Linked DNA regions of Xenopus tropicalis. The protein of the gene in region 1 purifies or fractionates together with the protein of each later gene. This does not show direct contact. Links are inferred from orthologs where the notes say so. Each region holds a gene or a part of one and is shown in the gene's direction. Other genes may lie near its edges. The genes, in order: pnkp, xrcc4 and lig3.

The links.
Region 2: the proteins of pnkp (region 1) and xrcc4 purify together in Homo sapiens (co-immunoprecipitation; 5 studies listed by BioGRID and IntAct, counting the BioPlex papers as one, with this or other methods). This does not show direct contact. The link is inferred for Xenopus tropicalis from reciprocal best matches to the Homo sapiens genes PNKP and XRCC4.
Region 3: the proteins of pnkp (region 1) and lig3 purify together in Homo sapiens (co-immunoprecipitation; 5 studies listed by BioGRID and IntAct, with this or other methods). This does not show direct contact. The link is inferred for Xenopus tropicalis from reciprocal best matches to the Homo sapiens genes PNKP and LIG3.

Annotation. Positions count from the first base shown.
Region 1 is NC_030683.2:117,562,354-117,566,006, reverse strand, and holds part of pnkp (bifunctional polynucleotide phosphatase/kinase), read left to right. Parts: intron 1-55; coding exon 56-163; intron 164-473; coding exon 474-545; intron 546-1,018; coding exon 1,019-1,067; intron 1,068-1,151; coding exon 1,152-1,222; intron 1,223-2,589; coding exon 2,590-2,682; intron 2,683-3,653. UniProt on the Homo sapiens protein: Plays a key role in the repair of DNA damage, functioning as part of both the non-homologous end-joining (NHEJ) and base excision repair (BER) pathways.
Region 2 is NC_030677.2:181,163,107-181,166,759, reverse strand, and holds part of xrcc4 (DNA repair protein XRCC4), read left to right. Parts: intron 1-304; coding exon 305-471; intron 472-1,144; coding exon 1,145-1,288; intron 1,289-2,335; coding exon 2,336-2,445; intron 2,446-3,653.
Region 3 is NC_030686.2:27,256,411-27,260,798, reverse strand, and holds the start of lig3 (DNA ligase 3), read left to right. Parts: upstream 1-1,572; 5' UTR 1,573-1,605; intron 1,606-1,920; 5' UTR 1,921-1,927; coding exon 1,928-2,378; intron 2,379-3,775; coding exon 3,776-3,910; intron 3,911-4,267; coding exon 4,268-4,388. UniProt on the Homo sapiens protein: Isoform 3 functions as a heterodimer with DNA-repair protein XRCC1 in the nucleus and can correct defective DNA strand-break repair and sister chromatid exchange following treatment with ionizing radiation and alkylating agents.

The DNA of each region.
Region 1 (3,653 bases):
CTTGACTGCTGCCACATTGCTTGACAATTGCTATTAATATACTTCTTTGTGCCAGGTGATTTTCATCACAAATCAGATGGGAATCAGCCGTGGCAAGCTGAAGCCTGAAGTTTTCAAAGCAAAAGTGGAAGCCATTTTGGATCATTTGGGGATTCCTGTGCAGGTCTGTGTGCATTGTTGTGTAGGACCAATAAAAAAAGCACTTAGTTGTCAAATAAAGCGATAATGCCTGTACAGTGCCTTGATAACTACACCTCTAACACTGCTGTTGGCATTATGCTTACATTAACTGCTTATATTTACACTAATTATAATTTCTATGACTGTCCAAAGTTCCTATTCCATATTAATGGTAAATGATCTTTTTATATCTGTGTAGGAACTGTGAGGGTTAAAAATAAACTGTGGGTGCTGGTAGAGGGTACTGATGTTATATATATCAGTAATCACACATTCATTTTAATTGATCACAGGTCTTTGTGGCTACTGGTATGGGAATCTACCGCAAACCTGTGACTGGAATGTGGGACCATCTCTGTAACAAGGTAAGAGCTTTACAGTAAAACATCACAGCTTTTAGAAAAAATATTGTCAAACTGATTACTAACGCACAGTGATGTGTTAGTGAGTTATAGATTCTTTCCCATGGCAGAACAGAACTGCTCAGTGTAAGAGAATAGTTGGTACTCCCTTTAGTTAGTCAGAGAATCCAGTAACCTACCTACAGTTGGACTTCATGGGCTTGCTAAAAGTTCTGAGCCCCAGTGCCGCTATACTGGCTACACTACATATAGCCCCACCATAGATCCTTCCTCTCCCCCAGAAGGCTGCCATTAAGATTGGCTTTTCCTCTGCCCAGAGAGATGGTATTTTCCATGAATATTTAGACTGTTTGTATACTATTGACATATTGCTTGTTTACAGTACATTACATCAAAGTGGCTTTACACATAAACTGTATCAGAGTGGAGCAATTAGCATCAGTAATCACTTTGAATGAGCTTTCTTTCCTCCCCAGGCCAATGATGGGATTGAAGTAAAGAAGGAAGACTGCCTCTATGTAGGAGGTAATTCATTTAAAACACATCTGTCAGTCATCATATGCATGGTAACATTATATAATGCCTTGTCTTCTGTGCTTGTACCTGCAGATGCTGCCGGCCGGCCGGCTAATTGGGCCCCTGATCGTAAGAAGAAGGACTTTTCTTGCAGTGACCGGCTGGTAGGCAGAAATTGTAAAATTATTCCTTCATTATACATTTCTAATTTGCCTAGAGCGTAGCTCTAGGGTAGAGATTAAAGGGGAAATAGGACATTTCTTGCATTTTGCCATGTGAGTGTATGCTACTATACTGGTTGCCTCAGCTGAAGTAATAGTAGAACATAAATAATTGTTTAATGAGAAAATATGTTTTTCATAAAGTCTTTTAAACATTGGGGCTCATTTATAAACACTGGGCAAATTTGCACCTCGGCAGTAACTCTTTGCAACCAATATGTGATTTGATTATTCCAGATAGCTGCAGGTAGAACAATGAAAGCAAACTTCTGATTGCCACAGTTTACTGTACAGGTGCTAATTTGCCCAGTGTTTATAAATGACCCCCGTTGTGTGTTTTAGCTGCCCCACCCACCTCATTCTTTCAAAACCTCCTAAGCTCTTTTTCCTTTTAAATGTAGAAAAGAAGAAAGATCTGTAAAGTGATTGCACTCTGTACATTTCGGCTCATTTGTGCTCATTTTGCACATTAATAAAGCCCGCTGAAAGTCTTATGGGGGTATGTTGTCATACTAATACATGTGCACGTGGCCATGTATGCTCACACTGAAGGCTGCACATACTTTATGTACCACACTTCTATTTCATACAGGCTGTACTCTGCAGGACTAAGTGCTTTGGCTAAGGATGAACCAGATACATCATTTCCCAGTTATTCCAAATCATCCACAAAAAATAACTGATAAACAGAATTCTAGTTTAATTAACATTTTGTTCATTTTCCATCATGATGAGCACTCACTTTTTATTGTCAACATTCATGTTTCTTGATTCACATGGATGTAACTTAACCACGTTCTGCCCTATTAGATCCTGGATGAAGGTTGTCCATAAGTCTGTTCCTAATATATAAGGATATAATGGCGGACCCTGTGCTTGGGCTTGTTGTATTTTTTCAGAGGTACAGCAGCACTATGACAGTAAGGATCCATGCCTGCAGGTTAGACCCCAAACCACCATATCTTTCTTTATTTAGTAATCCCTTTTCCTGTGCACATTGGCCGTCGACATGCTTTGTGGCTCTGGGTTGTACATTGATTAGTCCCTAGACAGTAGACTGAGCTACTAAGCATGTCTAATATTCCAGGGAGTGTGTCTTCATTCTAAACTTAAGGGCAACTAAAAATACCACCAAAGGTAATCATTGTACCTTAGTCATGGGACTGGTGTGCCACCTTCATGGTAACCTGTACTGTGTTCCTATGAGTCTTTGGATGAATTTACCTGGCACTGATGGGTGCACACAAGCACCTTAAATGCCCAGCACACACTAATTGTGTTTTGTTTTTTTTATCTCGCTTTGTTTAAAGTTTGCTCTAAATATTGGCATAAAGTTCTTCACACCAGAGGAGTTTTTCCTTGGATGGAAAAAAGCTGCCTTTAATTTCCCTGTCTTCGATCCGGTAAGTGCAATGTGTGATAAAAGAACACTAATCCTAAATACACATTTCCAACTTTTGTAACCTTTTTGATTATTTTATTCATACCAGGGCATAACATTTGGGGGGTTTACAGGCTACAGACTCACCAAGACTAAGGCATGAAAGGGGCCCCATTCTAGGGCACCACCTCACATGCAGGTGCTTAGAGATATTGGTGGATAGAAGGGATGTAATTAAAGGTGGCCATACACGTGGCGATCTGACGATGTTTCGTACGACCATCGGTCGCACGAAACATCGTAAGATCCGCCACACACCATTCAGGGCTGGAGGAGGAGGTAAGGAGGTAGAAACAATAGGATTTCTACCTCCTTCTGCCGATTCAGATCTGAAGGGAGAATTTTGGTCAGGCGCCTTCTATGGCGCCCGATCAAAATTTTCCAACTGGTCCGATCGGCGAGTCGGCCGATATCAGCAGCTTCCTGCGATATCGGTCGACTCGCCGACATACCATACACGCACCGATTATCGTACGAAACGAGGTTTCGTACGATAATATCGGTGCGTGTATGGCCACAAGGCTTATGTTGCACATTTCTTCACCCACAAAGAAAATGACCGCTCACCCCCCTACTGGCCAACCTGAGTATTGTAATTACAGCAGTGTAATCTGTTAGGGACTGTGAACACAGGCAGATTTTGGAAAGAAAATTCACTTTTTTGGGCCAAAATCTGCCTTGTGTACAGTGACAGACAGCTACTGTTGAAGTTAATGGTTTCAGACACAGGTGAGATTTGAGGAGAAAACACCATAGTTGTCATTTACGAACGCAGCCGCAGTGTGCAATTCACCTTGTTGTTTTCCTATAATGCTGTGTTTTTCCCACAATCCCAGCATTATTACCGTGACACACAGATTTGCATCCAGTTTAATAAAACCCGCTCAGTTACAGTTAAGCATTTTTACAAATCAAGAGTGTTTCATTTCCAGC
Region 2 (3,653 bases), on another chromosome or scaffold:
ACATCTAATAAATACATGTTGCAGGGCAACACTCAGTTCAGCTGGCTGGATTTTCTAGACGTGTCCCTGAATTCTATGGTACAAAGTTTGTGACTATATTATGAAGTGAATTCTCAGTGGCATTAACTGAGATGCAGGTGTGTTTCTGTTTACAATTTAGTGAATGGTAAAATCCACATTACTGTACAGATTTACATCCCCCCCCATCCCCCCCCCCCCCCCCCCCCACAGAGTGCTGCTGTGCTTGCTACATCTTCTCACAGTTTTAAGTTTGTCTCATTACTTTTTTTTTTTTTTTTTGCAGTTTAAGCTTGGATCAACTAAACTAAAAAATGTCCAGAACCCGGCACATGTCATCAGAGAGTTGATAAACTATTGCCTGGACTGCACCTCTGAATTATATAGCAGAAATGAACACCTGCAGAAGGAAAATGAAAGGCTTCAGTGTGACTGGAATGACATGCACGCGCAGTAAGTTTTCGCTAAGGGAGAGGAAAGTCTATTTTGCTGACTGCAATCTGGTAACCTCAGTAGTTAAACACTACTGAGGTTATGTACAATTTAAGCGCTAAAAAATGTTAGCAAAGTTTGCTGCAGTCATTGCACACTAAACATTCTTGCATCCAAAGCTGCACTTCCATATGTGCGCAGGGGAACCCTGGAGCTACCGCCACCTGTAACGTTAGCAGTAGCTCCAAGGTACCCACAGTTGCCTGCACAACAGATTTGCTCCTAAAGAATTGTCATTTTAACACCAAGTGACAGTAACAACATGGACTTTTTCTGTGCAATTTTACCCTGTTCTTGTCAAATTATATGTTTTTATATCTTGTCACAATTGCAACAAGGTGCATCTCCATTTCACAGATATGATAAGTCTGGAATTATGGGGAAAATACTGCATTGCGGGGAAAAACAAACTGAATGAACCATCATTTTTTTTACCCATAATGTCTTAGACCCATATGCTTTTTAACAGTGCAGCTTTTTTTCTCAACTTTATTGAGCTAAAGTAAAGGAATCTACTGGGGCTGCCAATATGTTAGTTTATTCCCCGGCCTAGCGCTGCTTTTCAGGAAATTTTCAGGAAATGTTAAACTTTTTCATCAATAGTTTAAATCTATATTAAAATGTATGATTTCAGGCTGGAAAAGTTTGTGAATGGCAAAGAAGAACTGGAGCGAGACCTTTATACTCGATTTACCTGTGTTCTTAATGAGAAAAAAGCTAAAATCAGAAGCCTGAAGGAAAAACTATTAGAATCACAAGAAAGACTCAAACAAAAAAGGTATATTAGCACATTTCTTACTCTGGCTTCATTTAAAATTGTATTGGCAGTACTATCCATTTAGGGGCAAATGATTGCTGTCATATTTCCATGCATTGTATGTTTCTATCTGTTCTAGCACTTTTTCAAGTTATTGTTTTGTATATGTATAGGATCTGTTATACAGAAAACTCATTATCCAGAAAACTCCGAATTACAGGAAGGCCATCTCCCATAGACTCCATTTTAATCAAATAACTGAAAATTTAAAAAATTATTTCCTTTTCTCTGTAATAATAAAACAGTATCTTGTACTTATAATTAATCCTTTTTGGAGGCAAAACCGTTCTTTTGGGTTTAAATTAATATTTAAATTATTTATTTCTTAGTAGACTTAAAGTATAGAAATTCAAATGATGGAAAGACCCTGTATCCTGTCCCAAGCATTCTGGATAACAGGTCCGATTCCTGTAGCGGCAAAAAAGAAAGAGCATAATGCTACTGTAAAGGTCTTTATCAGAGAAAAATAAGTCAAAAAGTTATGAAAAATCATAATATGAAATAATGAGAAAGTAAGCAGAATCCTCAGCTAGTTGTGGTCTTAAGAGAAAAAAGGAAAACGTTAAAAATTCACTTTAAATTCAAGGGAAAAAGGATATAGAAAGAAAGTGTGAACAAAGTCAGAAACAAATAATGCAAGTAAAGTAAAGCGATGAACAACATTGTCGTTTGAAGAGCAAGTGTTATATCAAGAGCAATTTAGCAACAAATCATTTTTGGGGATGATTATAGTGGATCCATTGCTTTCATATTGTAAAGAACCTGAAATGCTTGTCATGTAGCATACTGCACTTTTTTCCGGTTTATGACAAGACTTCAATAATTATATTTAAAATAATAATAGTAAATAATACATTTCCTAGCAACAATAAAGATGAAAATGATGGATGGTTTTATGCAGCTCATGAAAGTTAACTGGTTAGTTTTACTCTATAAAGGTTCATTTGTGGCACAGTAGTACTGTTATTGTAATTCTATAGCGTCACTCATACTATTTTTCCAACACAGTGAAGAAACTGCTCCTGATGATACTCTTGTGGCCAAGGAAATGAAGTATGATGCCTTTGCTGGCTCAACTGATGAGGAGCAGGAAAGCCCTGCAGTTGCCTCTAAGACTGGTAAGAAATTCACAACAGCCATATATAGTGTAACTGCCTATTTCTCCTTTAATTATCTTATTGTACAAAAATAAGTCTGTAGCAAAGTAAAGGCTGGGAATATTTTTAAGTTAAACCTTATTTCATTAATCATAAAACAAAAGTGGTACCTAAAAGTGCTGATTTGCTTTATCTGCTGTGCCAATATGTTGGAAAAAAAACATGAACAAAATAGGCTGACACAAATGTAAACTAACATTTTATGTGTAGTAGGTTCTTATAAAGAAATAGTAAAAATAGCACTTGCAATGACAGGTTTAGTCCTTTTAGATAGATCAGCGATACCTTTTCTGCTTATTTGTAGGACTAACCATCCCTACTCCTCTGTCTACACTGACAGCTCAGATTTCATTGCTACATTCACCAATCCTGATTCTGATACTATTTGACCCAAAATATTTAATTTTTCAATTCAATTTGGCATTACCCAGCATTTTAGCTTTTAATACATTATGTTCTACATAAAATACATTTAAGCAATTTTGCAGTTGATCCTCATGTTTTGTTAAAAATTTGTAGATCCTTTGCAATTGTCTTAGAACACCACTACTACTACACCATACTTTTTGCTATAAACTTCAGAGGAAAATATATCCTGTAAGCATGTGTATGTGTAGTAGACCTGGATAAAGACACAATAGAAGCTGATGTTTTGGGCACAAGTTATATCACTGGAAACATCACTTCCGTACCTGGAAGTAACTGTATATACAGTGGTGTGAAAAACTATTTGCCCCCTTCCTGATTTCTTATTCTTTTGCATGTTTGTCACACAAAATGTTTCTGATCATCAAACACATTTAACTATTAGTCAAAGATAACACAAGTAAACACAAAATGCAGTTTTTAAATTAGGGTTTTTATTATTTAGGGAGAAAAAAAATCCAAACCTACATGGCCCTGTGTGAAAAAGTAATTGCCCCCTGAACCTAATAACTGGTTGGGCCACCCTAAGCAGCAATAACTGCAATCAAGCGTTTGCGATAACTTGGAACGAGTCTTTTACAGCGCTCTGGAGGAATTTTGGCCCACTGATCTTTGCAGAATTGTTGTAATTCAGCTTTATTTGAGGGTTTTCTAGCATGAACCGCCTTTTTAAGGTCATGCCACAACATCTCAATAGGATTCAGGTCAGGACTTTGACTAGGCCACTCCAAAGTCTTCATTTT
Region 3 (4,388 bases), on another chromosome or scaffold:
GTAATTATAAACCTGTTCCACAGCGCTGCACTGTTTGCATTGAATGCACTGATTCACATACAAAACAACCAGTTGCCTAAACAAGAGATAAAGAGGCACTACATATTGGGAAGGGATCCCCAAGCGTTTTTACTTTGAGCCACACTTGTGTTCATAAGGCACAGACGTAGGAAAAAAGTTCTTTTAGGATCCTAAATAAAGCTGGCCATACACGCACCGATAATATCGTATGAAACCTCGTTTCGTACGATATTCGGTGCGTGTATGGCAAGTCGGCGAGGCGACCGATATCGCAGGAAGCTGCTGATATCGGCCGACTCGCCGATCAGACCAGTTTGAAAATTTTGATAAGGCGCCTGACCAAAATCTCCCTTCAGCGCTGAATCGGCAGAAGGAGGTAGAAATCCTATTGTTTCTACCTCCTTACCTGCCAATTCAGCCCTGAATGGTGTGTGGCGGATCTGACGATGTTTCGTGCGACTGATGGTCACACGAAACATCGTCAGATCGCCACGTGTATGGCCAGCTTTAGGGCTGTGACGTGGCTATTTGGTGGCCCCATATTTTGAGTAAAACGGTCTCTCTGCGTCCAAACTCGCCTCCCAAGCCACTTGTTGGGGGTCACCGTTATAGGGGATCGCCATCTGAAAACTGTTTTTGCATAATGAGAGGCAATGTAATTCTAAGCCAGTTTCCTCTATACGTTTTCAGGGGATTTGCAGTTATTCGATAATTTATGGGAAAGTTGTTTACATTTTCTTTATTATCCTATATGGTTTTTTAGCAGGATCCTAAATGGGTTAGGGTTTACTTAAAGGAGAAGGAAAGGTAAAAACTAAGTAAGCCAACCATAAATACAGCCATAAGCACTCACAGTAATGCTGCACTGAGTCCTCTATCAAAAGAAACACAGGATTTTTTTGTCTCTTTTTTATTTTGTAAGCATGATGTTCCAGTGTCTGACTTTCTCTCTCAGAAACATCCTTAATTCCCCTGACCAGAGTCTGCGCAACTCTCTCCCCTCTCTTGCTCCTCCTCCCACCAGAATGCTAAGAACTCCCTCCCCCCCTCCCTTAGGAATGTGTGATCTGAGCTATAACTGCTAGAGACTGCAGGCAGGAAGCTACTTAAAATGGCAGCTGCTATCTTAAGCAAACAGAGAAAGCTTCTAAAGCTGTTTACTCAGGTATGGTAATGTTTTCTGCAGAATAAATATATTGTTATAGGTGGCACTAATGTGGCAAATCTATTGGCAGTAAAATGCCAAAATGACTTTCCTTCTCCTTTAAGGATCCAAGATATTTTGTGGAATTAAGGTACATTTTCTTACTATTATATATTGTCTGTTATCCAACTCCCAATCCATGTTTCTCTAATGGTCTAGTGAAAATAAAACCATTTTCAGATGTCAACGGGCTTTTTAATTTGTTTGTCTGTGTTATAGTAACAGGTTGATTTGCTGAATACATGTCAATGTTGCTGCTATTGGTTATATGTACTGTCTTATTCCTTCACGTGTAGTAATATGGACTGTCTATTTCCTTTACTTTCCTGTTTAGGTCAAGAAGCAACAAGAAAACAGATTTTTCATTATTAGAGCAATAGGCAAGTATATTCACCAGTCCTTGTAACTGAACTTATATTCCACAAGTGGGTATACAGGTATGGGACATGTTATCCAGAATGCTCGGGACCTGGGGTTTTCCGGATAAAGGGTCTTTCCTTAATTCGGATCTCCTACCTTAAGTAAAAATGTGAATTATTTGATTAAAATGGAGTCTATGGGAGATGACCTTTTCGTAATTCTGGATAATGGGTTTCCGGATAAGGGGTCCGATACCTGTACTGCCCCTTGCAATGATTTCACTTTCAAACTGCTGCCTAAAATCTGTCTCTAAAATATTTTATCTTTTAAACTAGGTGGTCTATGAGGGCATTTCTTAGACTTCTGGCATATCAGACCAAAAGGACACTTGGCCAGTCCTTAACAAAAGTTCCTTTACGAGTTATTTTTCATGCCTGTTGGAGCCAGTCGCCTCTCCACAGTGCTTTGCACTTCCAATTCTTTTTAAGAGTTACACATTTCTCCAACATGGCGGAACAGCGATACTGTGTGGAATATGCAAAACGTGGGACTGCTGGTTGCAAGAAATGCAAGGAGAAGATTGGAAAGGGTTTGGTACGCATAGGTAAAATAGTGCCAAACCCTTTTAGCGAGTCTGCTGGGGACATGAAGGAGTGGTACCACATCAAGTGCATGTTTGAGAAACTGGAGAGAGCGCGGGCAACTACAAAAAAAATTGATGATCTGACAGAACTGGAAGGTTGGCAGGAACTTCAAGACTGTGATAAAAACCTAATCAGCCAGCATGTCACTGGTAAACCTCTACTTGCATACTGTTTGTCTGGCTTACAATTGATTTTGTAACCATTTTATATTAAGTTCGCAATAAAAATCTAAAATGTCCAACAGTGCTCTACAGCAGATGTCCAGCCAAAAATAATTTGCTTTCCATAATAAAAGATGTAATTCTAAGCCACGTTCCGTTATATCTTAAAGGACATGTAAACCCCACACACACAATTTTAATCAGTGAACAGCCTCTTTCAATCTTTAAATACCTGCCACACTAGTTGTCCAGAGGTTAATAATAAGGCTGCAGCATCCCCTTAGATTTCCTTCTCCTCCTGTAACCCACTCGGCCCCCTCCCTCAGAAATTTGCTTTGACTTCTGGCTTGTGGGTATGCTCCGTTGTTAAAAGCTCAGATTACTAAACATGCCCTCCAGTCTAGCAGCCAGTGAAGAGATGGCATTGCTGGTTCCCATAGAAACTCCGCTCTAGCTGTCTGCTTCAATTTTGTTCTCCCAACCAACTCTCCTGAACTCAGCTCAAACAAAGCAGAACTTGTATCAGGCAGTTGTGCCTGTGTGAGCCCGTATTCTTGATGAAATGTGTTCTGAATAAGGGTCTGTGTGTGTGTATGTGTGTATGCTGTTTGCAGATTAAAATGTATCAGAGGAAAAAATTCCACCGGGTGAAAGTTGCTATTTGCTTTAGGAAAATGTGATGGTGCTAGCAAATGTAGGTGATATATGCAGTACAGATGATGCCATTTGAGTGGGGGAGACATGCCCAACTGATATACATTCTAGGCAAAAGTAGGCTTTACATGTACTTTAAAGGAATACTGTCATGGGGAAAACATGCTTTTTTTTCCAAAACACATCAGTTAATAGAGCTTCTCCGGTAGAATCCTGCATTGAAATCTGTTTTTCAAAACCGAAAACAGATTTTTTTTTTTTTTTTTTTTTATATTTAATTTTGAAATTTAGCATGGGGCTAGCCATATTCTTCATTTTCCAGGGTGCCACAGCCATTTGACCTGTGTTCTGATAAACTTCAGTCACCACTTTACTGCTGAGCTGCAAATTGAAGTGATATCACCCCCCTCCCAGCAGCCTATCAGCAGAACAGTGGGCAGGGAGCACAAAAGTTGGCAATAGTAGCTGAGTCTGAAGCATGTGTTCATGCTACAGCAACCCTGTGTTGATCAACCATAGGTAAAGCACTTAGTTGTAGGTGAGCTGAATGCATCTGTTGAAAACCTTATAGGTAATATCCTATGTTCAGATTGGTAGAAGGCTTGTACATCATGACCTAAGGCCTTGATGAAACTAGCTTTTGAGTTCCAAAAGTAACTGTTCCAAATAAGTTCTTATGTTATTGCACAGCTAGTACACACGCTACTAATATGACTTTCCTTTGTTTACAGAACTTGCTACAAAAACAGCAGCTACACCTCGAAAAAAGACTCCGTCCAAGGAAAAACAATCACCGGCAGTACAAGGAACAACTTCCACTACAGCACCAGCAGCTAGTCCCTCTCTAAAATTTTCAGGTTTCTCTGGTAATGCTTTATTTCTAGCACAGTAAAATTGTGATACTAATCGGAATCACACCATTATTAATCATAACTAACTCACCACTCCTCTCCCAGCCAATAGTTACTGACATTTCTGGTAGCACCAAATAGATATACATGTAAACATTATTTTCTTTGTTTTATATGCTTTGTATTCTTTTCTTTCTTTCTGCAATCATTATTTTATAACTTGTTTTTGCGGTTATAAAATGGGTTAAGTTGTGTGTGGTTTTTAAATCTGATATTCCCAGCAAACTAATATTAATGTAATATATTGTATTGTTTTTGTTCATCATTTGCCTTGGACATCTTGGAATTAATTGTAGTGCCTTTTTTTAACAGCAAAACCCAGTCAATCATCAAGCCCACCAAGCTCAAGCACTGGCTCCAGTCTTTCAACTGCAAAGTGTGACCCAAAACATAAGGACTGTCTTCTGCGTGAGTTCCGCAAGCTATGTGCAAT